2 linked regions of the Styela clava genome follow. Each later gene encodes a partner of the first gene's protein in a complex. Links are inferred from orthologs where the notes say so. Each region holds a gene or a part of one and is shown on either strand. Other genes may lie near its edges. The genes, in order: transportin-3-like and cleavage and polyadenylation specificity factor subunit 6-like.

The links.
Region 2: the proteins of transportin-3-like (region 1) and cleavage and polyadenylation specificity factor subunit 6-like are in contact, whole or in part, in a crystal structure (PDB 6GX9), measured with the Homo sapiens proteins. The link is inferred for Styela clava from reciprocal best matches to the Homo sapiens genes TNPO3 and CPSF6. Residues at the interface, in NP_036602.1 of Homo sapiens: Arg620, Asn656, Arg657, Glu660, Arg661, Arg664, Arg667, Phe668, Arg671, Ser698, Cys699, Tyr702, Ile706, Asp709, Asp747, Asp750, Asp751, Arg754, Arg758, Gln761, Cys793, Arg797; in NP_008938.2 of Homo sapiens: Tyr521, Arg522, Glu523, Arg524, Ser525, Glu527, Arg528.

What each region holds. Positions count from the first base shown.
Region 1 is NC_135255.1:3,144,166-3,160,794, forward strand, and holds the start of transportin-3-like, read left to right. Parts: upstream 1-8,982; 5' UTR 8,983-9,150; coding exon 9,151-9,276; intron 9,277-9,583; coding exon 9,584-9,673; intron 9,674-10,362; coding exon 10,363-10,473; intron 10,474-10,867; coding exon 10,868-10,941; intron 10,942-11,015; coding exon 11,016-11,079; intron 11,080-11,338; coding exon 11,339-11,444; intron 11,445-11,673; coding exon 11,674-11,801; intron 11,802-12,177; coding exon 12,178-12,353; intron 12,354-13,203; coding exon 13,204-13,342; intron 13,343-13,887; coding exon 13,888-14,034; intron 14,035-14,416; coding exon 14,417-14,646; intron 14,647-14,885; coding exon 14,886-15,025; intron 15,026-15,717; coding exon 15,718-15,857; intron 15,858-16,629. UniProt on the Homo sapiens protein: Importin, which transports target proteins into the nucleus. Specifically mediates the nuclear import of splicing factor serine/arginine (SR) proteins, such as RBM4, SFRS1 and SFRS2, by recognizing phosphorylated SR domains.
Region 2 is NC_135261.1:10,513,195-10,530,461, forward strand, and holds cleavage and polyadenylation specificity factor subunit 6-like, read left to right. Parts: upstream 1-8,798; 5' UTR 8,799-8,852; coding exon 8,853-10,445; 3' UTR 10,446-15,987; downstream 15,988-17,267. Other genes in the region: 60S ribosome subunit biogenesis protein NIP7 homolog, read right to left, coding at 2,083-2,138; exocyst complex component 1-like, read left to right, coding at 2,522-2,645, 16,562-16,692; uncharacterized protein LOC120329417, read right to left, coding at 5,429-5,466, 5,912-6,950, 7,151-7,290, 7,521-7,596. UniProt on the Homo sapiens protein: Component of the cleavage factor Im (CFIm) complex that functions as an activator of the pre-mRNA 3'-end cleavage and polyadenylation processing required for the maturation of pre-mRNA into functional mRNAs.

The sequences.
Region 1 (16,629 bases):
ACTTGAAATTCACCTCAAATGTGCAGAAGTTCTCAGCTAGCAAGAAAATGCAAATTTTATGCATGATTGACCACGCTTTCACGCTCCAGTGAGCAAAACGAGTCTTCAGTTTTTTTGCGATTCCTCAAAATTGATACATGCTATTGGGTTGAAATTCATAACACTGATTAATGGACATGTTCCGGATACGATATGTCAAGGATACGCATGAGTGACCTCGGCGATACGCTCCAGTGAGCAATATAGGATTTTACATTTTCATCTTCTTCTCGAGAACGACACTACTTAGAGACTTGAAATTTACATCACATGCAGATAATAAGTCCCCCATCATAAATTGCAAATTTTATGCATGACTGACCACTCTTTCACGCTCCAGTGAGCAAAACGCGTCTTCAGTTTTTTTTACGCGGGAAGCCTGTTAAAGCTGCACGCAGCGCTAGTTTATATTGTTTCCTCACAATGGCGTCTACCATGGGTAAATGTTTTCCACTTGGTTTCGGGTCTTGCTTATAATAAGTTATGTATGGAAATCTAGATTTATTCACAGGTGTACAATTAGTTTGTTAACTGTTTAATGCTTACAACTATACCTGGAAATCTGTCTGAATGTAAAATGTACGAGGAGATAATAAAATTTCAATTATGCCATTACCGTTGACTTCCTTCTTATTAGGCAACGTTATGGAAATTAATAAAAAAGATGCTCGGAGAAACATCCGTCTGTGAGATTCTGCCTCGCGAAAAAATGCTTGTTCTTTCAAGAGCAGTGGTCTCAATTTTTTAAATATTTATATAAATAGCGGTCGCCTCACAATTTTGTTTTTCTAATGACATGTGGTTCATATAATAATCGAATAGCAACTCATTACATAAAGCATTCATTTATTTTATGTAGTATTTACAGTTTAATAGAATGAGTGCTATTTCTTGACTTCCACTAATTCGGGTTCTACTTGGGACATTACACCCCTCCTATCATGCGACTCATTTCCATTAGAGTCCGGAATTCTGTTTTAGCGAGGTGCGCATAAGAAAATACTTCATGTTGCATTTCTTGCTGAATACTCTTTCTCTTTCGCCATCTACGAATTGCCTCTGTGTCACAGTGAAAGTTATTCGCGACCCCTCCCGAAGTTTTTTCCTTGTTTGTGACATCACACAAAATTTGAGAATTATACGTAGAATTTCACTGCTGATATCTCTATCATCAACAAGTAAGTACTATGTTATTGGAACAACGCAATGTTTCCGAGTTATATGAACATAGGAATTTGTTATGTGGGAAGAATAGTATCACACCTCATAAGAAATTTTCTTAAAAGAACAATATTGTTTACGATTTGCAGGGTTTTATTTATTTGAGTAATAATAACACCACGCCATTGAGGAGGAATATCGTTCCATTAATTTGTTCGTATCGATGTGATAACGATAGTACCAACATCTAAGGCGACTTGATGAATGAAAACAGTGTATATATATATACGGCAACATTAACTGAAGACAATATGGTGTGACATAAGTTCTTGAAAACCTAGTCCGAGGGACATAGGCAAAACCTCGCTTACATTTTGTGGAACGACAATATGTTTTTGTTCATATACGTAACATTATTCAATTTAATATCGCCCTGACCAGAAAGCATACTTGGTCGTCTCAAGGCGTGGTTTTTCTTTCAACGATGAACGAATGACCGTCGTAACAACGATCCGATTCGATCCTCGAATGATTGGATTTTCTGATACGGTTCAATAATTTGTCCAAACATAATGAAGCAACCATTGTCAGTTGTAAACATCAATTTGATATTGCGCTTACCCGTAAAAATATTTTCCACTTGAGGATTTATCAACAAAACAAGCGCGGGCGAGTCTATGTACATGAAATATCATTGTGCACCATCCCTCATCTCATCATAGACTTTCTACTTATCTTGTAATTAGATTTGACGTTGAAACGTTTCTGAAAAACAGTGTCAAGAATAAGATTTCTGTTGTTAAGGGTGTGTACCCGGGAATATGTGCAATTAATTTACACGGCGATACCAACTTTTCTTCATCCTTAAGCGGTGTGCAGTTTTCGCCATATACAGCATAAATATGTTTCGATATACAACTCTATTTGCAATATTTTACCAGATATTCCATTGCCTGAAGGATGTGTTCGAAAGAAACCACTAGATGCTTTCACATTGTCGCCTGCTTCAATCTCAATGAAGACTTCTCAATCGTTTTTATTAAATCGACGAGGAAAAACTCGGAGAAAAGGTTCACGCAGCTGGGGTTTTGATGCATGAAGACGGAAGCGAACATGTGCCTAAATTTCAAAAAGAGCCAGCCGTGTGGTCAAACAATTAAAGCTCACCAGAATAACCTCCTTCCTGAGCTGAGAAAGCTGAACATAAACTTCATAAATATTCGTAAATCGATGAATTTAAATATGTTGTGACTGTGAGTGATTAGCGAAAAAGATTAATAAATGACCTTTTGAATCTATCTTCTATTTGATATGTGATGTGTTTGCTATGTGGTGATTAAAAAATATACTTTTCCATCGATGTCGTATTTATTTCACAAAAACATCGAAGTTAAGAGAAATATAATTTCATTCAATTAAGGAGCTTCACGGCTTAATTAATGTTGGATATAATCATACAATCTGCATATCCAATGTCGTTTCCCCGGTATATTAGTCGTTGGGCCAAAGTGAATATATAATACAAATAATACAAACGAGGCAACGCTCAGACATTAGACGCCATCTTGTGCCTATTGTTCTCGGCTATCTAACACGGCGCCTTATGAGAAGTCCACACACAATTATTGAAACATACCTATTATTGGACACGTAGTGGACATAACGATCGTTTCAATATTATGTTGTTGTTGTTGTTGTTGTTCTTGACACGTTTTTAAAAAGTCGCTTTTCTCTTCGAATACTGGACCAATTGCTTTGAAATTTTCAGTGGTTAAAGATAAAAATTTTCTCCAGAAGGCTATTACTTTTTTTTTTGCTATGACGTCATCAAAATTATGTGACTCTACGTGTCCATATATTTGAGCATAGCTCTTTTGTTTTCACTAATATTTTAGGTATACAATTTTGAAGGTCGCATTTTGGAGGAGAATCTTAGCCGAACTCGATGATATATTTTCATGTTTGCTAAATTCCAATTTTAGGTACATCAAATTGCCTTTGAAGACAAGAATACCGGTTTCGAGACCGAGTGGCTTCCGAAGTAAGTTGGCCATTCTACTCGTCATAATTAACCATTTGACAATGGCGTTCTTTATGATGTCAGAGATTAGAAGTTGTATTTATTCGTCGAAATTACCGGCCGGCTCAACTTCGTTTCAAGGGCCGTTTCTATTTTCGCATTAACATTTTTCGTCTGCCAAGCTCCATAATGCCCTACTGCTCAGCTCCAGACTGTGCTAGAGGAACAAATGCCATGGTAGGATTGTTGCGGAGACATGTTAGTTGTTACAGCGTCAAATTGGCGTATCACTATGAAATCTTCGAAAAAATGGTTCTACGTTGTGTTTGTGGTCAAATTTAACGCATTAGATAGTTTTTTTCATTTTCAATTGCGTTATATATTTAGATAGCATCTGGCTTAAAGGTCAAAATCCACCCTTTCGGCTTCATTCTAGCCCTTATAACAGCTGACTTATTCGATTCGGTCCAACAACAGGACGAAAATTTCCCATAAGACTCCATTGTTTCGCGTTTCCCGAATATGGCACAAGATGGCGTCCATGAACGTGTTTGTGTGTAACATTAGACAAGTTGGTTGCCTATTACTCTACTTAATTTCGAATATAAATTAATCGCAAAAGTTTTAGCTTTGAGAATGAAAGCAGTACTGCCTGATATAATAAATCATGACCAAACAGGATTTATTGAAGGAAGAACGATTCATGAAAATTTATTAACAATAAGAGATGACATTTTTTGGGCGAATAAACAAAACCAACCGTTAATAATTTTTAGTATAGACCAAGAAAAGGCTTACGATACTGTTGATAGAGTTTTGTTACTAAGAATATTAAAAAAAGTTAATTTTGGTAATTATTTCATTCGATGGGTCAATACCCTATTTAACAACACCAATGCAAAAATAATAACAAATGGATTTTTATCAAAGCAATTTAGTATAACACGAGGAGTTAGACAAGGTTGCCCCCTTGCCCCACTTTTATATATTATAATGTCCGAATTGTTAGCATCCAGCATCAGATACAATAGAGCAATAATAGGTTTTCAAAATTGTGCAGGAGATAGGGAGAAATATAAAGGTTTTGCGGATGACACTATTGTCACAGTAGAAAGTTTATCCTCCATAGATGAAGTATTAAAATTAATGGCAGAATTTGAAAAAGCTACAGGCTTGAGAATAAATATTCCAAAATGCAACATATTGTTGTGTGGGTCAGCAAAACGGCTAAACTTAGGACCTTCATACAAGGGTATTCAAATTCAAGAAGAGCTTAAAATTCTAGGAGCTTATATAGGAAACAATGTTGTATCAAGAGATAAAAACTGGTTGAAAATCATTAACTCAATTCAAAATGTAGTAAATTTATGGCAGGGACGGAAGTTATCAATGATAGGAAAAATTATTATTGTCAAATCATTAATGTTATCCAAAGTGTGGCACATAGCCAATTTTGAAATTATGCCAGGAAACTTCGTTCGAAAATTAGAATCTATAATATGGAAATTCATTTGGAATAATAAAACTCAACTAGTGTCAAGACAAATTACATCTAATATTTTCACATCCGGAGGTTTGAATATGTTAGACCTCAGGAGCCAAATAAAAGCTCTTCAGGTCAAATGGATTTTTAAAATCCTCAAAAACGAGAGTAGGCCATGGAGTAAAAGAGCCAATTATTTTATTAATAATTATTGTAATATTTTGTCCAAAGATAATTTGGAATGTCTGTATTTGAAAGTCCAATTTGACAAAGTAACTACCATACCTAATTTTTATACCGCCATTATCAATTCATTCAAGGATATTAAGTTGGAGAGAAATCATCCCTTTAATATTACAGAGGTTAAAAATGAAATTTTATGGTACAATCCCTTAATCTCAGAGCAAAATTTTAGATTTTCGTCCAAATGGATCCAAGCAAAAGTCATTTCTGTGGCTGATATTGTGGATAACACTGTGCATTATTTAACAAATAGAATATATTCTATTGATCAAATTGGGAATCACAGAAGAAAGCTCTTTTATTTAAATAGATGCTCTAGTGAAATCCAACAGGTTTGGGGCAATCTACCTATTAGCTGGAAAGAAATTCTATCGAGAGATCATAATTTACCCGAAAACAGACTTGGAATCAATAGATATATGAACTCCAATTTATCCACCAAAAAAATAAGTAGTTTATTGAAAATAAGGAAAATCACAGAAATTGCTACACGGCATGATATGTACATTACACAAAAATTAAATTTGAATATTCCTATAGACTGGTCAAATATTTGGCAATATAAACTCTCAAATAAATATAAAATTCTAAGTTGGAAAATTTTACATAATGGTTTACCTACGGGGGACAAATTAAAATATTGGTTTGATGATGAGAATGGACAATGTGTATTTTGTAATGAAAATGAAGAAACCTGTATACATTTATTTTGCTATTGTGATTGGATAATTGACTTTTGGCAGTGGTGCAATGTAAGGGAAATCAATTGTGACATAATTATTGCTAATAATATTCATAGTGAAGTGGTATCATTAATCATTCAATGTGGAAAATCAGCCATATGGGAGTTCAGGAATAGTGTCAAATATGATGATGTATTCCAAATGCAATGTAACTTGCGAGCTATTTTTAAATGCAAACTCCTGGGTGTAATCAGATTAATGTCAGATTTTGATAGGCAAAGAATATTATCTGACGAAATCGTTGATGATGTACTACAAAAATCGATAATGAGTTGAAGAAATTGAGATTGTCTTGATTTAGGAGGTTTGACTATATAAATGATTGCATAACATAGACAGATTAAATGAAAATCTAGTAGCATGATAGGTTTTTGAATTTTCTGTCTAATTTTTTGAAACCTTCTCTTCTTTTCCATGCTAATATAAAATAATTAATTATATATGTACATAAAAATGCTATATTTATGATGAAATATGGACAATCTTCAATACAAACGGATATATGACGAAAAATGGATCATCATCACTGGGTTTGATATGTATTAATAATTGTTTATCCAACTGTTTTAATTTTCCTCAATTACCGTAATTGGAACGCAATACATGCAATTGGTTTCAAAAAAAAAAAAAAAATAAATAAAATTATATAAAACAAAAACTGAAAATTTAATTGGCTTCAAAAACATAATTAAATAATTCCATATTGACTCTGGAATTGAATTTGGCAAAAAAAAAAAAAAAAAAAAAAAAAAAATGACTTGATGGTGAAAAACTTTGGGTAAATCGGAAGATTTTCCGGTATTGGATATTGGATAATATTTGTCTCATGATTCTCTAACAGTCTTATGGCAGAATGGTTTTACATACTGCTGCACTACGTTATCGGTACGGTACTGGATTTACATACGGACACGGTACCTATTTCAGAACTACCGGTACCGGTACCGTACTGTATTTATCCAGGAAAGACGAAAGCCGACTTGCTTCAGCATTACCGTATAAGGAGGCGCACAGGCTTGATCACCACATTGAAAAGCACTGTTGTGTTACACATACACGTCTCGCATTTTAATTTAAAAGGTAGACTAGAAGTTTATTGCATTCAATTATTTACTTCAATTTTCTGTTTTTGTCAAATTGCTTTCAAAGTACCAGTCCGGTACTGCCCGATTGTAAATCACGTTTTTCTGTGTTTGTTTTTTTTGGTGGGCGGGCACGTACATTCAGACATTGTACGCTTTTAATTTTTTTAAGTTATGCCCGTCTCCCAGGTGTCTTTGCATTTTGTTTTATCTGTTTACTTTTTGTATTGTTCATGTCAGAGAACCAAAATAAATGATTGATTGATTGATTGACATAGACTATGCTCTTGGCACTTCGAAAAAAAAAAGAAAATGGGATTTATTGCCAATAAAAAAGACAGAAAATAAAAATATCAGTCACAGTGATTAGCCTAAGTCAGCGTTTCCCAACCTTTTTTGGTCGCGGACTAATTTCTTACTGGCGAAAACCTTTGCGGACTCAAGGTGCGTTTATTGCAACCGTAGCTACTCTGTGTGAATAGCCAATAAAGTTATGGTGTTCTCCGTTTTATTTTTAGTATTTTGTTTGCCGATTTTCAATTTAGAGAATTTGGGTTGCCACCATTGACACCTACTAAAAAAAAAAATATTCTTTGTTGTTCGAACTCGCGAGAAACACCACGCGTGTCAGCGTGTGGCCGTGTTTTCGTCGAAAATTTGTTAGTGAGTTGTGAAATCCAATCGCTTTGACCAGTCGCGTCACTTGGTGACCAAATTTTCGAATAGTGAATTGCTATTGTAATAGTTGAATACTCGAATATATGCCCAGCCATACTCAGTAACTAGTAATAATTGACTTGATCAATGTTATGTGAATAAACTTGCTTTCTATGTTTTATGTGAATTTTAACGTAAATCGTAACTTGGCTGATAATTAACTTTCGCAAAAACGTTTGTGGCCTGCAGTGAATTGCTGGCTCGTTGCGGACTCATTCAAACGCCTCGCGGACTCATTTGAGACCACGGACTCGGGTTGGGAAACACTGGCCCAAGTGAATATCTAATGATTGCACTTGAGTCTAATAGTTGTATTTGAAAATAATAAATTGGGATCTAGTATAGTTTAGTACCACGTGTACTTCCAGTTGGGCTGGCTCAACAATTTTTGCATATGTCAATTCTAACTCTCACCTGAGACCTGACTATGTCATCCAAAAGTTACCGGTTACGTCACTACGACGTCACAATCACACATAGAGCTTGTCAAAGTAGAGCTACATTCTCCCGAAACGGTATTTGCGTGCCAATAACGAACTCGCTAACTCCTGCGATCCCTCTCATATCGATATCGTTGCGACGAGAAAACGAGGGAAATAGGTTGCTCGATTTCGAGTGATCGACTGCGCGTTTTGGACGACCATCCGTACACTTTGGAGAGCTTTATTTTGCTACTCACTGGGACTTCGTAGTGACGACATTTTTTGGTGACGTATTCAGGTGGGGGTTAGGATTGACATACGCAAAAATTTTTGAGCCAGCCCAACTGGAAGTACGTGTGGTACTAAACTATACCAGACCCATAAATTGTTACTGGTAGGTAGGTACTTAGAAAAATAAAGAAAATTGGAATTATGACCAATGAAAAAGACAGGTAGCTGACCAATAGCATCTGAATATATTTAAAAATTGTGAAACACTGGAACAAAAATACTCAAAATTGAACTTTGTAAAAAATAAGACAGAAATAAGTCCTTACCTAAATTAATACTGTAATACTCCAATAAAAGTGAGTTCAATATAAGGTACCGCATTGCACAATTTATCCTATTTAATTTCAGTACAGCAGTATTTGTAAGTTGTAACAAATTATTGTGTCAATTATGAATTGGAAGGAGAGAGTACTCATTATTCACAAGTATAAATTTCACTATATCTTGCTCGCGCAGGTCGGCTGTGTCTGCACATGGTTTTGCTTTGAGCAAGTTACATAAAATCGGATAAATGCATTGGTAGTTTGTTTTCTCTAAATCCATATTTTTACTTTAATGGGTGTCATTTTGCATGTTGCTTTCTGCTCATTAGAATTACATGATGTTTGGAGCAAAAACAAAAATTTGACAAAAGTAAACTAACTTAGTCAAGTAATGTTTTCAAATTGATCCAAGATGATTTTTTAATTTGTTTTAAGTATATTGATAAGAGATGGTAACCTGATAGCTGATAGCGTTATTTTTCGATTGTTTCATATGAAATTAACATGAATGATAATACTATTTGCAGCTTTTATTATTATATTATGACCAGCACTGTATTCTGGCTATAAGTTTACCGATTTATAGTATTTCAAGGGGTCAGACTTTGCATTAGTTCTATAGTCCAAGCTCTGAAAACCTGAGGACGATTTGTTTACGATCATCAGCACCAGTCTGGCATTTTACTATGGCTGATAATGCATTGTCACAAAATGCCAGGTCTGTTCTCAATGCAGTAAATACTTTGTATCAAAATCCCAATGTTCAAGAAAAAGAAAAAGCTTCATTTTGGCTTGGAGAGTTTCAGAGATCGGTATGTTATTTACTAGTAAAAATTTTCAGTTATAATATTACTATGCAACTTTATTTTTGGGGTTCTCATGTTGTTAATTTCGATATTCCATTTATTACAATTTTATGCTATGGGAAAGGAGACTCCTGGATGACACAGTGAAGAGAATAGCATTGTGTTTCATTTGGCCATTACTGTCAAATTCATTTGTGACTGGATTTCTTGGTAGGCATTTTTTTATGATGCCACCACGACTAAACCAATTTGCTGTCAACGGACCATTTTGCCTAACTACCTGACAAGTGATGATATATCAAAACCATTTTAGGTGTTTGCATGGGAGACAGCAGATCAATTATTACATCTAAAGCAAGATGTTGAATCAACATATTTTGCAGCACAAACAATGAGAACAAAGGTATGTATTTTGCATATATATTACTGAATAAATTTCAGAATGTTGAATTGTACTGATTTGAGTTTAAGTTGAATCAATTGTGCTAAAATATGCTGTTTCTGATTGAAAAATGGGATAATACGATGAAATTAGTTAAAGCTTGTACCTTATTTCATAGTCTGCTCCGTTCTCATATATTAATTAATGGTCGGCCATGGAAAAGTTTTTATCATGCTCACATGGACTTGATTAGTAGATGAACCGACTAAGAGTTTTTCATCAGCTATCTCCATCCCAATGCCAAGCTTCCACATATAGATTTTGAGAAGTGGTTCTATTTGCTTTATATGCATGAGATGATAGCAAAATAAACATATTTTTGGCATGAAAAAATTACACATCATGGTTAAGTGTATAAACCAGCAACGATATATTGCTCAATATCTGGCGTATATGCTTCAGTATGTTTAGTTGTTCATCACTGCATAATAAACCTTTAGGATTTCCCTTCGATTCAATGCAAACATTCACTGATCTCTAGTTTCATTATGTGCCTTGTTTTTTTACAACCATTTTGGGTGACAATTTTGCGAATGTAGTTTTTGTTTTGAAGGCTTGTTAAAGATATCAGAGAGTAATTTGTGGATCGTCTTTTAACAGAGGCAACTTGTACGAAACTTTATTAACTAAAAAATTATCAACCATTTCAGATTTTATATTCTTTTCGTGAACTACCTCCTGATTCACATGAAGGATTGAAGCAATCATTATTAACACATATAGAACAATTATGTGGATATTCTCCAGCTTTGACGACACAGGTTGAAGTTTTATCCGCTATACAGATTTTAAAATATATCCTTAACGCTTTAACCAGCTATACGTTTTTAAAAATTTCAGTTTTTTAGTCAGTTTTTCAATGACCGAACTTGAACTTGTAAAAGATTTAAGCACAATTATGTGGACGATAAACATGCTACAGGTGAAATACTGTCACATAAACACAGATTTGTTGATTATGAGCTTTCCGATTAGTTTCAAGTTTTTTCAAAAAAATCATAATATGAAGAAAATTGAGTGAAGCTTAAAATATAACAATGAAAGTGATAGTAATAATTGTGTTATGGATGATATGCCCATCTTAATCTGATGTAAATTTAAAAGAAATTGGTTCAGTTTATAAGTATCATATTCATTTATTTTTTTTATTTTCAGCTTGCATTAGCTGTTTGTGATTTAGCACTGCAGATGCCACAGTGGAAAGTGCCAGCGTTAACATTTATTGAGAAGTAAGAAAATCTTTTTTGTATTTTTGTATTGTGTAGTGAAACTTTATGTTGATTCTGACAATAAACTTTTATAGATACAGCAAAGATATTCAAGCGTTGCCATATTTACTTGAGATTCTCACTGTTTTACCAGAAGAGGTAAGTCTTGTTAAATTTTACTGACTTATATTAAAATGCAAATAAAAAATAAAAATCCAATAAAGTTAATTTAATTTGTGTGTCTTTATAATTTGTATAAAACATTTTATTGCATTCCAAATTTGTATTTCGGACATGTCATGACATGACCTTATTCACAAGTTTCTAAATGCGGCCTATGTTAGTTAGTTAGTCCTAGACTACTAGTATATTTGACTATGGCAAAGAATTTGTTGTAATATTCGCATATTTTGAGCAGGTAAACAGTCGCCATTTACGTCTTGGTGCAAATAGACGAACAGATATTATAGAAGATATGGAGAATTCGGCGCCAATGGTTCTCGAAGTCATCCAAGCGTGTTTGAGTAAGTGCCACACCTAAATTTGATTCAGTTTTATATCATTTCAAGCTTTAAATAATGAGGAAATTATTTTTATTTACTTTGAATTTTTCAGTTAAGGCATTGGCTAATGCATTGGTTTTGGAAGGGTCACCATGATTTAACCAGTTTTGTTTTTGTTTTTGCCATACAATTGATTCATGTGCTATGCCTTGTTAAGAGAAAAAGCATGCTTAAAGATATGTCTTTTCAGCGAGAGTGCAAGATGAACGCATCCTTTCAAAAATATTCAAATGTCTGGGAAGTTGGTTTTATCTTGGTGTGTTCCCTGGCAATCATGCTGCAAGGTCCAATATATTGGATGCACCATTCCAGATTTTGGTAAGTACTAAATTTAAATTGTATTTGATGGCTCTTTGATTTTGAATATTTTATAGCCTATAGGTAATGTTCAGGGGAAGCATGCATTGTAATATTTCATCTAGATATTAATAATTATTTCCAAGCCATGACCTAAGTACTCTAATATGATCTTTTACATGGAATATTAAATATATATTCTAAATTTGGTCATGTTTAATAACAATGAACACATAGAAGTCAATGTATATTTAATATGTTTAAAGTTAGGAATGCTTGAAAGTCTGGGTGGAAAATAGTTTTATTTATTATATATTCAATTGAACAGATAGATAATTTTCGAATGAATTCTAATGGCCAGTAATTAATTAATTAGAATATCTTAATTTTTATTCAGGGAACTTTATCGTCATCTTCATCACTTCATGAGGCGGCAACAGACTGTGTTTGCTCTGCATTGTACGCTGCAGAGGATGTTAGCAGAAATCAAGATTTAGTTCAGCAATTATTTACAAAAACTCTTGGACTTAAGCAAGCATACATTGATGCGAATGCTAATGAAGATATAGATAAGTAAGCCTTACTTGTTTTGTTTATTTGATCATAATAGAAATTGTGGCCGACTTGCAAGTTGCAATTACCAAATTGTAACTATTTCATCAACTTTTACAACACAACTAATATGGCCTGCCAACCAGTTCAAGCTCACCTGAACTATTACCTTATATACATCTGTTTTCAATTTGCTAGTGTAGCATAAAATAAAAATGTATGATTTAATTTATCCGGAAGTGTTATAAACTTTTTCTCTGAATACTGGTTTGGCGTAAAATTAACATTTGTTTGGGGTACCAATACCATCATGATAGGCGGTTGGCACATTGTGCTTAGCTGTAGGAACATGCTTTCCAGTAATTACCACCACACCTGCACAAGGTTAATTATGTGTGATAGGATTGTTGGACTTGTTGTCATCGTAGGGTGTGTTGATGTAACCCCTACTTGAGCGGAAGCAGTTGTTTTATCATATGATTGAGTTGTTTTACCAACTTTCCTCTCTTGGATAAAAATGAAATCTTATCTTAAATCAGTAGCGGAATATAATTCATCCATACCGATGTCATACTTTTATTTTTCCTTGTCTGACAAAATCCATATCCTTATTTTAATAAGTTCTAACAACTCCACTGTCTACAGCCAAATTCTTCATGCATGGTTAATATTGCTTGAACATTCTTGTATTTGTAATATCTGAATTAATTTTGCTTTCTCTATATAATAAAAACTCTAGCATTTTAACTTTAAGATAAATTTTTCATTTATGCTCATTGCCTGTCAAGTATTCTCTTTCCATTGCTACTTTCACTATGATTCTTTTCAATTATATTTGTATGTTATTATCTCCATATTTCATTTTTTTTAGATGTTTAAATTTGTGTCGAATATTTACTGAACTTGCCGAATCATTATTAGAAATTTTGGTCAACAGTCCTGGAGAAGGATTGGGAGATTTGGAAATCCTTGATATTCTATTGATGTGTGTCGGACATTGCCAATATGAGGTTTGTAGATCATAAAATATAACTTGCTATGTATATGCGACGAAATAACCTTCTATGGAGGTCATATAGAAGTTAGGACCATATTATATCAATCCCTTGTCGAAAAATAAAGAAAATTACGATTTACAACTAACCATACGGGTTTTGTATGTGATCTATGCTGGGTGAGTGGTGGTTAGAGTATTGTACCTGGACTATGTTGCCACTGCAGGTTGAATTACCCTGTTTCAAACCCCATGCCCAACACGTCACCCACCACGGCGCTTCAAAATGTGTGTACTAATATGGAGGTAACTAATTTTGTCTGCTTTCTTTACACCAAGTTGTGTAAAGGGACATAATCCATGGACAGGGGGTACATTCACTTGGCTAATACAGACAGTCGCCAAACTCGTAAGTCGTAATAGTATTTAAAATAAGGAAAATCGGAATAAAATTATGGCCTAACCCTAACCTGGTACACGCACTACGGGAGCTTCGTAGAGCTCGAATTCAACTGTATGTTATATTACTAGCATTGCCTTTATTCATTTTGTTTTGTTCAGGTCGCAGACATCACGTTCAACTACTGGTATAGATTATCTGAAGCTTTGTATGCATTAGATCATAAAGTTGTTCGTGAAATATATAGTTCATATGCCGAAGGATTAATTTTTGCACTTGTTAGACATTGTCAAATGGAACCAGATCATGTAAGTGAATGTAAAATTTGAGATTCTGGCATTCTGCCAAACTAGAATTTCTCCGAATATTAAAAGAAACTCTTTGAAGATCCCAAGATCGCCAATCTCGTTAGAAATCACCATGATACATGATTTCTTTTTCATGTATAATCAGTGTTGTGTGCTGTGTCAACTTTTCAGGGGTTTGATATTTCAATGTATTCAAGTGTTTCATTGTATTTGAAATTTTCTAAATTAAACAAATCTGCACAGACATGTTTTATATTGAATTATAAAGTTGGTACAAATTGAAATTTCTATTTTATTTGTATACTTCTATTATTTAATATTTGAAAACATCCAGATATATAACTATCAATAATATTTATTAGGTTCATGAACTTACATTTAGGACACAATTCTGGATTCAGCAGATGATTTTGCAGATTTCAGAAATAATTCAGCTGATTTAGTAAAGGATGTTGTATATTTGGTTGGACCAACTGAATGTTTTATCGGATTATTCAAAATGTTAAGCGGAGAAATACAAACACCCGATGGTACGAAACAAGGTGTTGTAACGTGGGATATCACAGAATCTGTTCTGTTTATGATGACGGCAATAGCGAAGAATGTAAAAGCGTAAGTCGAATAATACTGTTATGGTTTTCTTGGACTAATAATTTTTGATTTTATGCAGTCTAAAATGACACTGGAAACACTTGATTGCTTTTTTTGTGTTCTGTGGCTAGTTCATATGAAATGTTCAAAAAAATAGGAAGGTAGACAAGAATACTTGACATAGTTTATTGAAACTAGATAAGTTTATTTATCATTAAACTTTTGTGAAAGCATAGAATAGTTATTCCTTTTATTTTCAGCACTGAGGTCACTGTCACACCACAAGTATTACAAGCAATATTTTCTCTTCCACCATCCACACATATTGCAGTTCGGCATACAAGTATTCAATTAGTTGGTGAACTTTCAACTTGGATCGAAAAACATCCTGATTTACTGAGTATGATGTTTAATGTTATTTTCTATTATGAATGACTGTACTATCCAGATTGAATCAGAGGCTTATTTTGGTGACTCTAGTTAAATAATTTAAGATTAGAATTGAGTGAGGAACAAAAATCAGTTTCAAACAACAGAAACTACTATAATGCAATTATGTGCTGTTATTAACTTTTTATAGGGTATCACACATAGACTTCTTAAAAAACTTTTTATGAGCATCCAACGACTGCGTAAGGCAGACATGGGCAAACTACAGCCCGTGGGCCAAAACCGGCTTGATGGGTAATTCTGGCCCGCCTAATGCTACCACAACCAAGCAATAACTAAATTTTAACGTCTTAGTTAAAAATAACTCAAGGAATTTGTAGAAATTGCGATTTAATCTACCGTAGTTTCGGCACAAGGCTTATTGTTTTTCACCTTTGTAACACTGTAAATATTGTTCATAAAATGTAACTCTTACGTCACACTTTCATGGCCCACCAGTCTAGATGGGCAAAATTCCTGGCCCCTGCTCCAAAAACCTTGCCCACCCCCGGCGTAGGGGCCTATGGACCACAATATTTCCTGTGGATCAGAGATCTCTAACCTAGATGGTGGCATATTCAAGTTCAGTACTATATTCACTATTGCTAAGCCATTGATTTGATTTCTCTTTTTAATCTCATGACCTACAACACCATTTTATAGATCATACATTACAATACTTGACAAATGCATTACAAACCAAAGAACTTTCATCTGTTGCTGCAACATCTGTTCAATATTTATGTGAAGTTTGTCAATCGCAAATGATTCAACATTATACTGCATTGATCCAGTTAGTTCAGGTATGCGCTTCGTAATTCATCAATTATTAAAGGTTAATAATCATAATGCGGTAGAGTGTTGTAGATAGCTAGATAGAATTGAATTTTTCATGCAAGTAGATGTTATAGAGATCACTATCCGAAAATATTTAAGAATCTATAAATGTGAAAAAAATTAAAATGCTTGCGAAATGACATAAATTTTCATTTCTATGCAATATACAGTTACAATCGGTTATAATTGAATTCTATAACAAAATTTTTGAATACCAAACAATTGTATTGCATATCCAAGGTATCTAGCAATTGTCAAACAATCATTATTATTTCGAATGCCTAGTTATGGTAATTGCCAATACATTAGTTCATTTTTATTGTATTTTTTGTATATATCATCACCGTAGAGATTTCAAGTTTTATATATATAGCTTAGTTTCTCGATTAACATATGCCTACCTTTAATTTATTGATGAGCCCTGGCCTAAACAGTTTGAATCGTTTAATCACGAAGCCGAACAGCTGAAGCTTTCTCTTTTTGCTAGCTCAAAGACTTGTTCGCAGTGTTAGTATGATCTCTATTGAAAATGACATAATGATTCTATGGGATTCTGAATTAAGAATATCAGACTATCCATCACCTAATGAGATGTTTCACTCCAAGCAAGGCTTTAAATCTATTTTATTTATAAACATCATAAAATATATATTAATTGTATACAGAAATATGCAAAGCATTGAAATATATGTTATATAAATATAACACACAGATTAGAAGAAAAATATGGAACATGAA
Region 2 (17,267 bases), on another chromosome or scaffold:
AACGATGTATTTGTCATAAGGGCTTGAATGTCGCCAAAAGAAAATGTGATGTAAAAAATAAAAATAGCCTAAATTTTTTTAAAAGTCTGTCTCCCACAGAACGCTATACCCTATTTGGCATGAGATAAACCTGCTTAGTTGAAAAATTTTGTTCAACTAAACGCATCTGTCAAGAACTTCATTTCACCCCAAACAGACAATTTTTTTTTTAAACAAACACACACATTACTTTTTTGTTTGGCGTTATTTTGAAGAGTTTCGGCATTTACTTAGCTAGACCCTAGAATTGGAATTGAGATCTTCAATAGCCAGCTAAAATGCAATGTCTTTTATTGAGTGAAAATTCGAGCCACTCTCTGATTATGTCTTTGCTTGAAAGTATATTTAGAAGGTTACGAGTCGCAAATGCCATTGCATCGGTCGTCAAAATTATCTCATCAGAGTCATTACCCGCAAGTTATTTGGAAAGTGGTATTCAAGTTTTATGTGAAATTATTTAAAAAAAATTGTAGTAGAAGCAGTAGAAATAAAGTATCATAAAAGTTTCAGAGCAATAAAATTCTGTTGGCCATGATAAAAAAGAATGCAAACATGTAAGATGTCACAGTTATCATGATAGCTTAAGTAAATGTATAATGGTATTTAAGAGAGTTACAGCAAGAACTGAGAGTACCGGTGTTTGCCATTCTTTCTTCTGTATTCATATAACTTTTGGAATAAGGTTGATATTGTTGCTTTGAGTAAACTTGCATAAAATGGGCTTCAAACATACAGGGTGACCCTACCAACACCTCGCCCCCACCCAGAAAAAAAAACAGAACCCGTATATTTTCTTTTTCGAACTTTTTTTCATTGTTTACGCTTGAAGTTCTGTTTGTGCATGTATTGTACCTAACAGAATGACATATCGCAATGACTGAGTAAGAAAAAATCATGTTGCTCTTTTGAAAAACGGTAACCCTGAAATTACGGGCCCAGTGAATTAAACGCTGTGACTGCTTATAGTGCCAAACAAAATTGTGACGAGAAAAAAACATCCAAACTTTTATTTTTTCTAGTAGAAATATGTCTCACAGGGAACACTATATCCTTTTTGCCATAGGAAATACCTGCTTAGTTGAAATTGGGTAGGTTTGATTTTAACTAAATGCGTCTATGGCGAAAATTTCATTCTGCGCCTGACAGACTTTTATTTAATTATTAATAAAAAAACATAAAAATTTAGGATAGAATAATTTTTACATATTTATCCCATGGGAGAGGAATAAGACAGCTTAGCCATATGGCAAACCACGGCCTCTTGTCCGGTTACCATTCCATGTCGGGTATGGGATTAGTTAGTTATTTGTTTTCGGAAGCATGTACTTGATGGTGGAGGAAGCCGTGAACCACGCTACGGAGGCGAGAAGTCCAGCAATCCTCTCGCACATAACTATCCCTGCATGGGATTCGAACCCACGCAGAGTTATCCAGTAATCAGAGGTGCGGTGGCGAGGATATTAGGATAGGATTTACATATTTATCCCGGAGGGAAGGAAAGCCAATATTAAAGCTTTTAAATCATATGGCGAACCACGGCCTCTCGTCTGGTTACCAGTCCAGGTCGGGTATGGGATTAGTTAGCCAGCTATTTGTTTTCGGAAGCATGGACTGGATGGTGGAGGATTGCCACCGCATCTCCGATTACCTCGCGTGGGTTCGCAGGCTTCCTCCACCATCAAGTCCATGCTTCCGAAAACAAATAACTGGCTAGCTAACTAATCGCATACCCGACCTGGACTGGTAACCGGACGAGAGGCCGTGGAGAGAGCGTATTCCTAACGCTTAGCAAGATGAGCCACACCACCCAATCGTCAAAATCGACTGTTCTACTGACTCAATACAGTAGTAATATAGGCCTACCACAGAAACAGAAAAATATTTCATGTTCCCGTTTTATTGTTTTAGTGAACTACCGGTACCGGTACCGGTATAGCCTAGTCTAATAGTCCACTCATGCTACACAAAACCTTCCGACCCTAACAATTCAGCAATACCAAGAATTAGAACATCATATATATAAATATCTTTATATGTACTTACTATTTTGCAAGTTTTTCAAACAACGTTTTTGTCTCATCTTCTGTTAAAGGACGCATAGTCAGTTTATTATTTGTCAGAGACGTTGAAACCGGGGCAAGACGTGAAGCTGTGCACGAAAATCAGAAAATATCACTGCCGCTACTCGCGAAACGTGTTTGTAGTAAATAGCTGGCTTCATTAGAATCTACTAAAATACTAAATCACGTATCACGTGGTCCGCTTTTTATAATATTTTGGTAAAGAGCTGATTTATGCGGGTTGCTTTTTTGCTTATTGTCGGGATGCCTTCGGTCCGTAATTTATTATCCCAGACGGTCAGCTAAAGTTTTTGTCTTGAAACGAAATCGGCTGTTTGTCTGCTTGTGGAGAATTATTTTCTGGAGCCATATATAATTGTTCAATTTGGTTTAGTTCAGTTTAATGAGAAATAATTTTGAATATGACGGCGATAAAACACGCCTTGCAAAGGGATTTATTCACCCCAAATGATGAAAGATTGTTGGGCGTTGTTCACGTTGCTAAAACGGGAAAGAAAAAGAAGTCATCTTTTTTATGTGCTTCAGGTTAGTAATCTATGCTATATGTATAAGGTATAGTATCCAAATGATATAAGGTGTTTTCGTGAAAGTTTTTTGTGTGTTTAGATCCTGAATACCACTTTTTGCTATAGAGTTTTGTCCTTTTGTCATTTTATTTACAAATACTGAAATTGCTAAATTACTGAAATTATGAATACCCGCTGCACTCTAATTCACAAGGCAAGCCTCTCCTTTTATGGTCACAAGTTTATTTTGATTCTTAAAAGTCTGAAAAAGCTAACGAAGACTAGTTTTCCAGCTTTTTGATTGTACATTTTAGTTAAACCACTGGCACGGCCGCAAGGAATACACTCACCACCGGTACCTCTGATTACTCTGCATGGATTCGCAGGCTCAAATCCCATGCGGGGATAGTTATGTGCGAGAGGATTGCTGGACTCCTCGCCACCGTACGGTGGTTCATGTAACCCCTGGTCGGTTACGGCTGCCTCCACCATCAAGTCCATGCTTCCGAAAACAAATAACCAACTATTCCCATGCCTGACATGAAATGGCAACCAGACGAGAGGCCGTGGTTCGCCATATGGTTAAGCCTTCTTATCGCCTTTCCTCCCCTGGGATAAATATGTAAATCCCATCCTATTTTTCTATCAATCCAACTGAAGTTAATCATGCAATATTGAGCAATGTAATCATTGTAAACAGAGTATTGCTGATACGAACTAGTCAAAAAACATTACAGCATTAATTGAGAGTGAAACAAACATGACAAGTTTGATCGGGCTTCAAGCTTGGGGACCATTGTGATATTACATGTATATAATTTACGTAAAAAGTTAATATAAGTCAAGCTAATGTTTTTTACTTCCATGCATTCTTTAGCTAATATTCAGAGTGGAATAATGACAGAATGGGTTGTCAAGGACACACTTGACAATGCCACGACAGTCAAACTGCAGGTTCAGAGGTTGGAATACTGTGTTGCACAATCATAATATGTACTAATTGAGTATGATTCCTTTCACTATTCAAGACCATGTGTCTGAACCTTTCGATTAGTAATTTGATTTGTCAGTTGGTTCATCGTGCTTGAATCATGATTGCCATGCCACTGCTCATCACTCAGAGCCTTCATGGGGATAATTATGCAAGAGCAGATTTCTGACTGGTCTGTTGTTACTTTCTCCGCCATCCAAAAATAATTCCAGGTAGAGTAGGATTGGCCATATTGCTCATTGTTCTGTAAGAAACGATTGCTTACAAGTTATGCATGTGCCTTTAGAAGCAGTATATATAAAATTCTTATGGCCTGACGGTGTGGCACTTCATGCTGAGCCGAGGCATTGAGAAAACGCTTGCTACTGCACATCCGATTACCCTGCTTGGATTCGCAGTTTCGAATTCCGTGTGGGATTATCATGTGCGACGGGATTGTGGACTCTGCGCCACCTGGTTCACAGCTTCCTCGACCATGCATATAACTGTCCAACTAATCCCACACTCGAGGCCCTGATTCGGCATAGGATTAAGCTGTCCTATTGGCTTTCTCCTCCCCCAGGATAAATATGTAAATCTTATATATTGCTTGTAAATGAGGATCAAATAAATGAACCCTCTATGAGAGGTGATTGAAGAAATAACTAATTTTATTACATTTTACAATATTCAGGAAAATTTTAGTATTTCAGAATACTTGATTGCCAGAATTGTACTCAGATATGGGATTTCTAATAATTGTGTGTCCTGTTTCCACAAATTATTTATCAGTTTGAAATGTAATGTGTGACGCCCAACCTCTGATACTGCTTATTCCCTATGCTAAATGTGATTCTAATCGTTATATGTTTTTGTGGCTTTCAACACTATTAATGCTTAAAACAAATTGTTCATATACTTAGTATTGTCTGCACACAGATTCATGTCCTAACACTGGCTGCTGTACGGTGATTGTTTTTTAGTAAGTAGAGATGTTTACTTTCTGATTGTGCCTACAGATAGTTGTTATTATAAGTTTAATTTGTAAAAGTTGGCGACATTGGACGATAAATATTTCTTTGTTAAGCATTATTCGAACACTGCCCCATTGTGACAGACAGGAATAACGAGTGTGTCGCAATTTATAGTATGATGTGGTGATTATTTGTACACGGCCCGCACGCTTCTGGGGATATGTATATTTGGCCCACTAGTACATCAAGTTTACCTACCACTGGTCTAACTTCTTCAGGCTAATTGAAATGTAACCTGAACCTAAAAGCGGAATGACCAAACCAAATGAACTATGATTTTCTGTGATATTCAGCATAACATGACTCTTTTACCGAAAATTGTTAGGAACCACCGGTCCATCACTACCAAATGCCTTCAAGTGTTGATATTTTAATACCTGTATAATTTCAATAAAGAATAATTAAAAGCATGATTACACAACACACTTGCACGAATTTGAAACGAAATGTAAAAGGAAAAATAAATAATTGATAAAAAGATAGGGGCAAGACTTAAAATTGACTTACGGTAGGCAAGTATGTATAAAATGGTCACACAAATTCAGGGAAACTTCTGTTGACTCAATAAAAAATTGACATAGCATAGTAAAATTTTGTAAAAGCTAAAATGAACGCTCTTAGATCTACTGTACAACAGAATTTATGATTGTGTATAAAACAGGTTGATACTAATCATAACCCATCGTGTGCTTTAAAGTAAATCCTTGCCAGTTGCAGATAACTTCATTGTATAAGACTAAGAGGTTCGCTGGATTGCCTGGCATTGAAACATGGCAATTTCCTCACTCTTCATGCTTGTTACTCATCTTCAGTACATTGTCGTTTTGATGGAAGGCCTATAGATAATAATATAATACTTTATGGATGAGATAGCATACCATTCTGAATAATCTCTTAGTGATGTAGACTGAATAATACCAGACTAGCAATGCTGGGTATGTTATGCAGGATGTCTCACATCTACGACCTATGGTAATCAATACTATGTGTGAACTCATCTTTTTGTGCACATAAGCAACCTGAGTCTAGCAAAACATTTGATATATCCATCCATACCTACTCTATGCATTGATTTTAATAGGTTTGATAATTTCATGTCAAAGTTTTCAAGGCAGGCAGATACGAAATAATCTCTGACACACTCAAATATTATTATCCAAGTACATTGCGGTGCATAATTCGGGGGAACAAATTTCAACGATAGTTCAACCAGAGGCTTCAAAAGAAATTGAACAATCATGCACTGGTTGTAACAAACTTATAAAAAAAAAGAATATGTACCTTCTTCAATTTTAACTATATGGGCATCATGTGGAGGATAAATCTGTGTCTGACTTCTTTTTTTATAATCCATGTTATTGAATTTCTTTCTTATCGCCCGATGTAGTGTAGGGGAGTATCTTAATCCATTTTGACAAAGAACCGGGTACTCAGAGCATAGGTTAGTAACTGTACACTTTACTTCGTATTGGTCAGGATTTCGTCCGAGAACATTTTTGAGAATAGTTGAAATATCTCTCACTAATTCTTGGAATGCTTTTCTGTTCGTATTATTTAAGATGTCATATCCCTTTGACATATATTCCCGTAGCGATACGTTTAAAGGAAAAGGCCAAGTTATACCATTAGGGTAAGGCAAAGGAGATGCATTTTTAGAAGCAAGATAGCTTTTCTTCTGGTTTTGGAAGGTCATTGTACTAGAGGTTTCAGGACCATCCGATACCTCATCATCAGGATTGGAATTATCATGCAGGTCAATGGGACTTTGTGATGTCACATGGAGAGAATTCCAGTCTTTTAAAGCTGAGTAAAGCATTGTCCAACCATCCTCTCCTTCACTGCGAAGGCCTGGGTATTCAACACATAACATGGCTGCTGTATATCGTAAATCACCTTCTGATATATTTGGTCCAAGACTGTTTTTCAAAGTGTTATGAACTTCAGCCACAAGGCTGTTAAACACAGAATCATTTCGCTTAATACTGTTAATGCCCACTAAAGACTCTTTGAGAATTTGGCTTAGTGGGAAAGGTGATGTTATATTTCCAGGATAGGGAATGAAAAATGTATTAGGACTTTTAGGGGACTTAGGTACGATCTTATTATGTATTGGTGAGGAAGGCCCAAATATAGATGAATTCGAGGATTCGGCTTCATCATCGGAAGATATTGGAACAAGACCCTCGGGGGTTTGTGCATTTTTACGAAAGTAATTTGAAAACATATTCGGAGATGAAACTGAAGTAACTTTCTTAATGATGCACGGATCTCTTTCTTCTTGTATATTTTCATTAAGAATAGTCTTCGTTGTTCTTGCTTCCTACAAAAAAAAAATTTATTTTTTTGAGTGAGTGTATTGTCACCTTTCATGATGCATATCTATATTGAAAAATATCATAATATAAAATTTATTTATGTTTCACAGCAGAATTCAATTTCCTCAATAAACTAAAATTGTTAAATCCAAGTAGAACAAGAAGATTAAGATAAATAAGCATTCTAGAAGCCCTGATGCCATACCTGTAATTTAGGAGGACTTCTCTTGAATGCTTTAAAAAATAACCACAATTCTTTTCTGATTCCAAAGCGAAATCCTCTGAATTCCTCATTCACATCTTCTCTAGTTAGTTGATCGATGTCATCCATTTGGAATTCAGCATCTTAGAAAAAAAGGTAGTTTGAAGTAGGAACTTAGGGAAATACCGTATTTTCAGGCTTATTGGGTGAAAATTACGGTAATTTTAGTATGACAAAAAATCAATATTTTGATATTGAAAGTACCTGTATATCATTATTGCGTTTATAAAAAACTTTTTCTGTTTTATAATATCAATCCAACCACCAAAGTAGGTAGCACATAATAACCATCATTTGGAAAATGTGAACCTACCTTCTATTGCCTTCACAATATCAGAGGTAAATTGTGTTGATGCTTTAGCTATCATCTCTGACAGGTTTGCAGACATTTTAACGAGTTTTGATTAAGAGTTTGAAAGCTGTTAAAGTAAAAGCGTTGTGTCATTTGATGAAATTGTTGATTTAAAAAAATGTTATCATTGTTAATTTTCAAAATACTCAATTTAACCCCAACTGTATTTAATGACATAGACTACTCAAAATATGGTCATGGGCTTTTAATATCCACATGTTTTTTAATAGAACTAGTAAGCTCTTAAATATCTTCCCAAAAACCATCCTAACCTGACAAGCTGAGCAGTAACAAGTGAATAATGAGATTTTCATATTTATTCCTGTGAGAGGAAAGTTGATTAATCATAGGCGGATATTATGAACCGGCCTTTCGCCCGATTACGAGTTCCATTTGGGGTATGGACTCTTTCAGTCCCATACCAATCAGCCGATGCTGCATGACACATACATATATCAGTAACTTCCTAAGTTGTTAGCAAAGACAGAAATTCGGTCTTTTAGAAGTGCTTCAACGTACTTATCAGTATATTTGACAACCATCGCACCACTGGTACCCTTAATACTCCACCGTAGTCATTTATTCGACAGTTAGGACGCAATATTCCGCTTCCATTTAGTAAACACAACCCCCATATACTGTTAAAGCATAGGACGTCTGTGTTTACAACGGGGTCGAACTAATTAATCACGTGCTTGTTCCGCCCGAAGTGCTTCTGTTTCACGACGCTCCGCTAACGCGATATTTCGCAGAATTACGCTACAAATTGCAACTTGCTTGTTTTTTTATATTGCAATATTCAAATGCAATTTTACAACCTAGTTTTGATTAAACTACAGTACCGGTTAGTATATTACGTTCTAAGCTGAGAGATATGTTGAAAATGACCCCCGATTGGATGAAATATTTCATACAATGGCGACTAAATAGTTTAAAACTATGTGCTTGATTGTCACTGCTAGGCATTGGCTTTCACAGCATGATATACTGAGGTGACAAATTATGCTATTCTTTTAATTAAAATGGGTAAAGATCAAACGAAATACGGCGCCTTTTCCCGCGATTAGCAGGCAATCAAGGCTCGCAGTTTATCTGCCGAACAGCATTGTGGGAACCTTTTTTCTCTCTGTCTAGCGTGCGTCGCGCTAGCGCTATCGCCATTTTCAGCGTGTATTTTTGTGTGGCTTAGTTGCGCGCGCGTTTGTGATTGTGATTTTGTAGTTTTACTTTTGTCAGTGTCATTTTGTTCATGTCTTGAATTTATTGTATATTAAGGTCGATTTATTTAGCGATATGACTGACGGTGTTGATATAGATCTTTATGCAGACGTTGACCACGAATTTGCTCAGGACGACGGACTGTATACCCAGGGCAACGTGGATTTGTATGATGATATGTTGCAACCGTCGAGCAGAGCGACCATCCATTCTAACGGCATGCACAGCGTTCAACATGGAAGCGATAAGACCCAGGGGGATATGAAGTTTAATTACCAGGGCAAAAAGGTGTCCATTTATGTTGGAAATTTAACTTGGTGGACTACTGACAAAGATCTGCAAGATGAAATCAGTGCTTTGGGTGTCAATGATTTAATTGAAATAAAATTTCATGAAAACAGGGCAAATGGCCAGTCAAAGGGTTTTGCAATTGTGCATCTTGCTTCTGAGTCTTCATCTAGAATAGTTATGGATAAGTTGCCAGGGAAAGAGTTACATGGCCAAACTCCTGTTGTTACACCATGTAATCGCCAAAGTTTAAATCAATTTGAACAACAGTCCAAAGCACAATCTGGAAATAGTGGTGGTCCGCCACCACAAAAGCCGGCATCACCACCGCCACTCCAACTGCCACCAAGGCCTTCTCTTTCTGTGAGCTCTTTCAATGTTGTTCATCAAGCACCACCAGCTCTGGCTGTTGCAAGTTTAGGACCTCCTGCCTCAACAGCACCGACATCAGCTCTTTTTATGCCTCCGCGCAATCGTCTGGTCCTTCCATTCCCTCCTCCAGCAGCTGCAGGTAACAGACCACCTGCTATTTTTATTCCACCAACTAGCGTAGCCATTGCTCCACCTTCTTCGATTCCCCCTCCTGGAATGACACTGCCACCTACTCTAATGCCACCCAGAGTGGCACTGCCACCAGGTATGCCAGGACCGCCGCCTCCAGGCTTACCGACACTTATTCGTGGCCCTGGTGGTATCCTAATTGATCCAAGAATTCCACCTCCACGACCAATGATGCCACCAATATCTCCAAATCAGCCACCACCTGCCGTAAGGCCACCACATATTGGTGCACCCCCATTAGGGCCTCCCCCAGGGTTCCCACCCCCACCGGTACAAATTAACCCCTTGATTCCACCTCCTGCTGCAGAATTGCCACCAGCTCAAGAGACATACAGACAGGAGCGCTCACAATCGCCGCCATTATCAGATACTGAAGTGGAAGAAATAATGAATAGGAATAGAGCAGTTTCAAGTAGCGCAATTTCACGAGCTGTTTCCGATGCAAGCGCTGGTGATTATGGAAGTGCAATTGAAACTTTAGTCACTGCCATATCTTTGATAAAACAATCTAAAGTTGCTACAGATGAAAGAGCGAAAGTATTGATTGGATCATTACAAGATTGCCTACATGGCGTGGAAGAGAAATCATTTGGATCTGGATCGATAAGAAAAAGAGATCGATCGAGGGATAGAGATCGAGAAGAAAGACCAAGACATCGGGAGTCGAAGTCGAGGAGACGAGACAGAGACAGAGATCGTGACAGAGACAGATCCCGAAGCAGAGAGAGATATGACGATCGAGAATACAGAGAAAGAAGTCGAGAACGAGACAGCGGAGGGTATTCATCATCACGTCACTCGGATCGTCACCGACGTTGAAATGAATTACATTACAAAAACTGGATGCTTTATTGCATTGTACAGAAAACAATAGTTGTTGCTTTTAGCACCAAATCTGAAATGGTCGGTTTCGAGAATGTAAAGTGGATGCTGATGAACTATGTCTACAAGTCATTGATACAATTCCACATTTTTCAATGATTAATTGTGTATAAATTGATACTTCATTACTGTTGGAATGTATCTTAATAAAATTCAAAATGGTTTTATGATTGGTTTCTATTTATCCTATTATACAATTGCAAGGGGGTTATTCATTTTACTGTCTCATTTTATCTAGCATATTTTCATGTCATTATGTCGGTACGTCTTTGAAATAGGGTCTTTCTCAGTGCGATATGTCAACAGTTGTGGGTTATTAGAAGGGTTAGTTTAAGTTGGGGCTAATCATGAAATGTGTATATAAGGATTCAGAGTCTTATCAATTTTAATAGTATATATAATTTCGGGAATTCATCATGCAATGGTTAAAAGTGAAAGTGCTTTGTTCAAAAATGGTGTAAAATTGTCGATTATGTCATTTATTTATTTTCGCATGGCATATATGTGGCGTGATTCCATGATGGTATCAATCATTGAAGAATGCTGCCAAAAATTGTAACACTGTGGATTTTTAAGGTTGGTAATTTTTTATGCAATCATTTAAGTGCAACTTTTGCCTCTGTTTTTATTTATGCAATATTTTTGTGTCTATTCTGTACTGTTCTGGGTATGTCATTTTCGGCCAGTGTCCACTCTTTGACACTTGGCTCGAAATGTGGAACCCAAATATATTTTTTTCCTTTCTGAATAATTGCCATTATCGGAATTTTTAATAATTTAATATGATGTGGTGCAAAATTTCTCAACCTTTTTTTTTTCAATTTCCGAACGCTGCTTGACCTCTTCTTCATACAGTTAACAGGATAATACAGTTTGAATGAATTGAAATGTTTTAAAGGTGTCAATGATGCACATTTTTTTAGTGGGAAAATTCTTGCACAATAATCAATATTAGGAATTCTGATGATGTCATTTATTGGTTAAATTACCGTTTTAAGATACTATACTTTATAAATAACATTTCTAAAGTCATTTCCAAAATCCTCAACACCATTATTTGGGTTGGTGGTCAAGGAAGACTTTCAAAAGTGTAATGGTGCTTGTATCATTTACTCCTGAAATCGACCCTCAATTACTTTTGAATATTGTAAAATAGCAGCTGTAATTTCAAAATTCAAATTAGTTCACTTTATTTCGTTCAGGTAGGCTAATTCATTGGTCGAGAAGGTGATGGTGTAGTGATGAGTGTAAATAGAAAAATTGTATTTTTTCTTTGTATGAATTATTTATATCTTCAAAATATCTGATTACCAGTAAGAGAACTTGTCTATTATTTATGAATGTTGGCAGATTAATTGGCTGCCTTTTCTTTAATAATAATTTCATTTTCAGAATTCTCTTTTCAAATGCGGTTTTCTGTATTTGTATAGGCAAGAGTATAGTAGTGCTCTTATGGTAGTAACGTTCATTTAGATCATGTATTTTTGATTCACCACTAAAAAGGATTTTGTTTGGTGCTAGCTTACTTATTTTTGTGCACCATGAGTTGCGTCCTTGGTTTTGAGACACTGTTGACCCTGTTGACCTAGATTTAAACCCCAGATCTATAGACATCACATACTGGGTATATATATGGTTTGTGGCAATTTTGATTGCTCACATTTGAGACGTCGTTTCATGAACTAATAATACTCAAATCTGGTGATACTGAATTCCTAACATATATCATATTTTCCTGCTAATAAGCTGATTTTTTGGACCCAATTTTTTTGTCTGATTTTCTTGGATTGACTTGTTGCACTGATGGCCTTGACTGTTTTTTTTCTCTCGAACCGGCTTATTATAAACTTCGGGCCAGAAAATACTGGAAACTCACAAACAGTGGATAAAAGTACCAGTGAGGCGGTAACACATTTATAAGCCTCTGCTTATTGGGTGGTAATACTAATATGTTATAAATTGGCTTCAGCACATACGCCGTGTCATCTTATTTGCTGGAAAATATGTATTTGTATGTCTAGTTGCGAGTTATTATTGCAGAGTGGCTGACGGGATAGGTTTTATACTTTTAATTTCCATCACATTTATATCACTGCCAGCATGAAACTTCTTTTAGAAAGTAGGCCTATTTAACAATTTGTAGGCACTTTTTTTTGTATGGTAATTATTCAGAGTAGAAGCTTGATCATGATATTTTCCATATTTTACTCGGATGAAATCTTGAGAATTATAGATTTTTTGCAGTCAAAATCAAAGTATTTCGGTCTTTGGTTTTGTGTGTCTATTAGTGTGAATCGTTAATTCATTTTTTGAAAATGATTTCCAATGTTAGCCCAAGACAAAAATTTAATCCAAACGAAATTCAATCGAAATTAGGAGTCTTTTAAATTTTATTATTTACGTAATGTGATATATACTTGTTTCCGGGTGGGTTTTTCGGACACCATTTTATGTCAGCAAATATTCGTGCAGTTCGTATCAAAATTCTGAAGCAGATATATTGCAATATAGCACTAACATATAATACAGTTTTCACTAGTTTCTATGTATCTGTAAAATAGGAATTGTTCCAGCAAATTAACTTTCATGCATGTGCTCTATTCCATCTAAAAGTGGCCATAGTTCCAGCTGATTTATGATTTTATGTTATTATTGTTAATTAATATTATAGCTCGACCGATATCGAATTTTGAAGCCGATATCGCCAACTGGTGGCTGATAACCGATATCACAATGCCGATATTATTAAAAATCATATTTTGAGCCACGCTCTTATGATGCACCTTGTGAGTTTGTAGTTTCATTTTGATATTTGTTATCATGGCAGTAACACTTTTATTTAACTAACTTTAGTTAATGCTCGAACAAATGTTTTTTCTGTAACTTTTCTTGCTACTTCAATATCAGACTAGCTATTTCCAGGAAAATGAATTGTTAATCAGACGTTTTTACATATAACTATGGATATATGTCAAGGGTGATAAAAAATTATAGCGTGATATATTTTAAAGTGAATCGTGATAATGATCTTTCGATATTGTGATAGCCTATGTGCAGTTACATGTGAAATTTTTAATAACTTTGTTTCCAGAGACTCTCAATACCTTATTTAGTCAATAATAATGGATGAAGTTTTTATTTTGTAATTTTCAGCAAAATGATAAACAACCATCAATATAGACAAAACTGTTACCCCAGAAATTCAAAATTGATTTGGGGAGGTCACAAATTCGGAACTGACATTATTGCTTTGAGCTACCTGTACCATGTTTCCATGATCACTAACTCACCAGCTTCCAATCGATTCTATTTATAGAACCACCGTTTAATACTGTTACTAAATTTCCCTTTTTCTCATTGTGTACTCTCTCAAATATGTCACTTTATAAAAGTCATTGTTACTCCAGATAATAACTTTTCAGTTATGACCATGCATGAAATGGCTAATCATAAGACACTGGGAATTAGGAGAGACACCTTTATAACGCAAAATGAGAGCGAGAGAAATATTGGCAAACCAGTTACGCAGGGCCGTTGCAGCACGCAGCCCGGCGCTTGCCGAGCATGGCCGATATATATCGGCGGTTTACGTCCGATATGATATATCGGCAAACACGCAATATTGGCCCGATATATCGGTTGGCCGATATATCAGTCGAGCTCTAATTAATATATTTTTATTAAACCAACTTGGTAATATATTGTCTACCTGTAGATATTGCTTTCATTCTTTCTCTTCCTGAGAACTTTGAAGTTGAAATTTTCAGAATTAAATTTTTAGTCCAGTTCACCCGTAGTGAGCGTGTTATAGCCAGGACTGGGAGCTAGGTTCCAGCTCCATCGTGACTCTACCTTCGCAACTTATTGCTTCAGCTTCGTAGTCATAATGAGTTTTTTGGTATAACGATGGTATGCGACATTATCGCAGTTGCGCAGAATCGGAACTCAAAACTATTATGATACAAGGGTTTTGAATTTTAAAATTAAATCCTGAATACACAAATTTACTATTTCAAATTAATATTAGAAATTAAAATTAAACAAAAAATGATAAGCTGAAAAAGTTAAATTGCATTATTTGTGTCAAGTAATAAAAAATTCATGCATAGGAAAAAATAGATTGTTAATTATCTGGAGCCACTAAAATTTTTGGTAGCTGAAGCTCTATCCAGTATAGTAAGCTTGTCTCCACCCCTCAATATAATGTTACAACTCCAGCTTCCAGCCCTGGTTATAACGAAGGATTTGGATGTACCGGTACATGGGACCATAAAGGGAATTCCAGTAAAACAACTTCGATACAAATAGCTTAACCATTTTACTACTGAAAATTTTCAGTAAAATGACTAGATAATATAATTTTTTGCATGAGCTGTTTTGTAATATTGGTACATCATTGTTAATATTAGTAATTGCAGCTTTTTTGGCATAAAAATTATAGTAGATGCTAATGCGGTGGTTCTCAACCTTAACAGTATTGCCCTATTCATGTCAAAACTGTATCCATGTCATCATTGTTAATATTAGTAATTGCAGCTTTTTTGGCATAAAAATTATAGTAGATGCTAATGCGGTGGTTCTCAACCTTAACAGTATTGCCCTATTCATGTGTCGTTAACTAAATATATTCATGTCCATTGAGCTGACATACCTATAAAAAAGTATGTGTCATCATTTTGATGCAAAAGACTTCGGAAACATTAAATTTGTGTAACATTGTCAAGACATTTAATGAAATTTAGAAATGCATCTCTTATTAATTCCTATAAGATCCTGTTTATCCTCTTATTTCATGTTTCTATGTTCCATCACTTCCTCATATCAAAGATTCTGAAAGGTTGAGAACCATTTGGCTGATACATGTGAATATATGTACCGGTATAAAAATATAAAGTAATAATACATTGACTAATATCTGTGGATAATAGATTGAGATGTTCTATATACGGTAGTTTTATTGTTTTGAAAGGCTCATTTTTCTTGGCTTTGTTTCATATAATGTTCTCCCCGAAATTTAGTTTTTAAAAGGATATCATCATTTGAAAGCAAATATACAAATTTATCTGTTTTATATACATTAGTTACAGTTACTCAGTCAGAATTCCTTTATAAAATAGTTATCTTGGAGAGCTGAACTGATAATTTCAATTAGTAATTTTTTTTCCCTTTTGGATCGGAAATTTCTTGTTCAAGCTGAATAAATCTTACTTACTTCTTGCTTGCGTGGCATAATTGCTGGAATACTTTATTTCGTACCTGTACTGTTGTTGTGTGAGATTGTTTCACTTTTTATATTGTCTTTAACCCTTTGTTCTGCTTCCCACCAATATATAGATAACTTAAAACGATTGGGCAGATGTTAAATATAAATGTGGTCTTTAAGTTCTGAATTTTACTGTTTAGCTATTGTATTTTACCAGAGTTGTTTTGCATATTAGTATCTTTTCACCAACTATGGCTTGGGTTACAAGGATACTTATTAAATAAAGAATTACCCACTTATTACAATTTTATGATTTTTTTGTTGCCGATTTTTTGGTGACATCTAGGCAAAAAAAGGATAGAGTGCATAATTAGTGTGTGCTCTTTTCTTTACAATACTGTTTTGAAGTGCTTTTCAGAAAGTGGTTGTGCGTCCTTCTTCTCTGTGTGTTTATTTTATGTAATTTTTAAACTAAGTTGACTAAATTGAGTTTAAATTGAACCACTGTGCCCCCATTTTGTACTTTTATATTTTACTTTATAATTATGTGCCTACAGAATTTATTTACTTATATAGCAGAGCTGTCTGCAAACAGCATCACAAGCCAGTCAATACAAGTTAGTTTAAACTTATTTGAGCAGCAAATTGTTTCTGTGGCCTGGTGTAGCCAAACTTATTGATGGTATGAAAAATGAGTGTGTGATAAATAGAAGAGAGATTGTTTTGTGGTATATCTGTAACTTTGTATGAATGGATGCATTTGGAGTTGTGTCATATTTGATCTGTAACTTTTAAATTATACAATATATAGCACTCAAATTTTAAAATTATGTCTTCCCACCTTTTTCAGTAACGACAGAGCACCCTGTTGAGGTCTACATTACCAAAATCAAGAAACAGGACAAGGGAGACTTGTATAAGAGACAGAAAAAATGGCACCTAAGAGAACTGAAAATGGTCGATGGCAAGGATTCAAAAAAGGTAGGTGACATTATTTTAAATATTCCTGCTTAGTGCGGACTGCGGAGATGTACAAAGAAATTTGAAAAGTATATATTATTGATCACAAAATAGACCTATGAGTTGTTGTTGTTAATGATCAGAAAAATTGCTAGAAGGCTATTACGTATAATTCTTTTCAAGTTACCACATATCCCCACATGAAAGCTGACCTCGCATATAACACAACCACGAAAACGGCCTTAAAACAACGAATTTATAAAAATTCGCATATAAGCCGACCCTACGAATCGTAACACGCCGGACGCCAGTGGCTAAATCAACATCTCTTTCTTTTCTCTGTCTTTTCTTTTGAAGATACCATTGGTGGCAACTTCACACCATCTGCAGTGCAATTGAGCACTACTGTAAAATGTTTTTTTTAAGCCCTGTTGATAAAGACTATTTTTCACCTTCTGGGTTTAATGTTTTATTGCTTAGCTTCCCAAAACACATTAGGGTTTCGTCTATATTGCCTATTCTATTGAAAGGGAAATTATCATTCTTTCGTTTATTTATCACGTAATGTTGAAAGTTCATCACCTTTTCCTGAAATT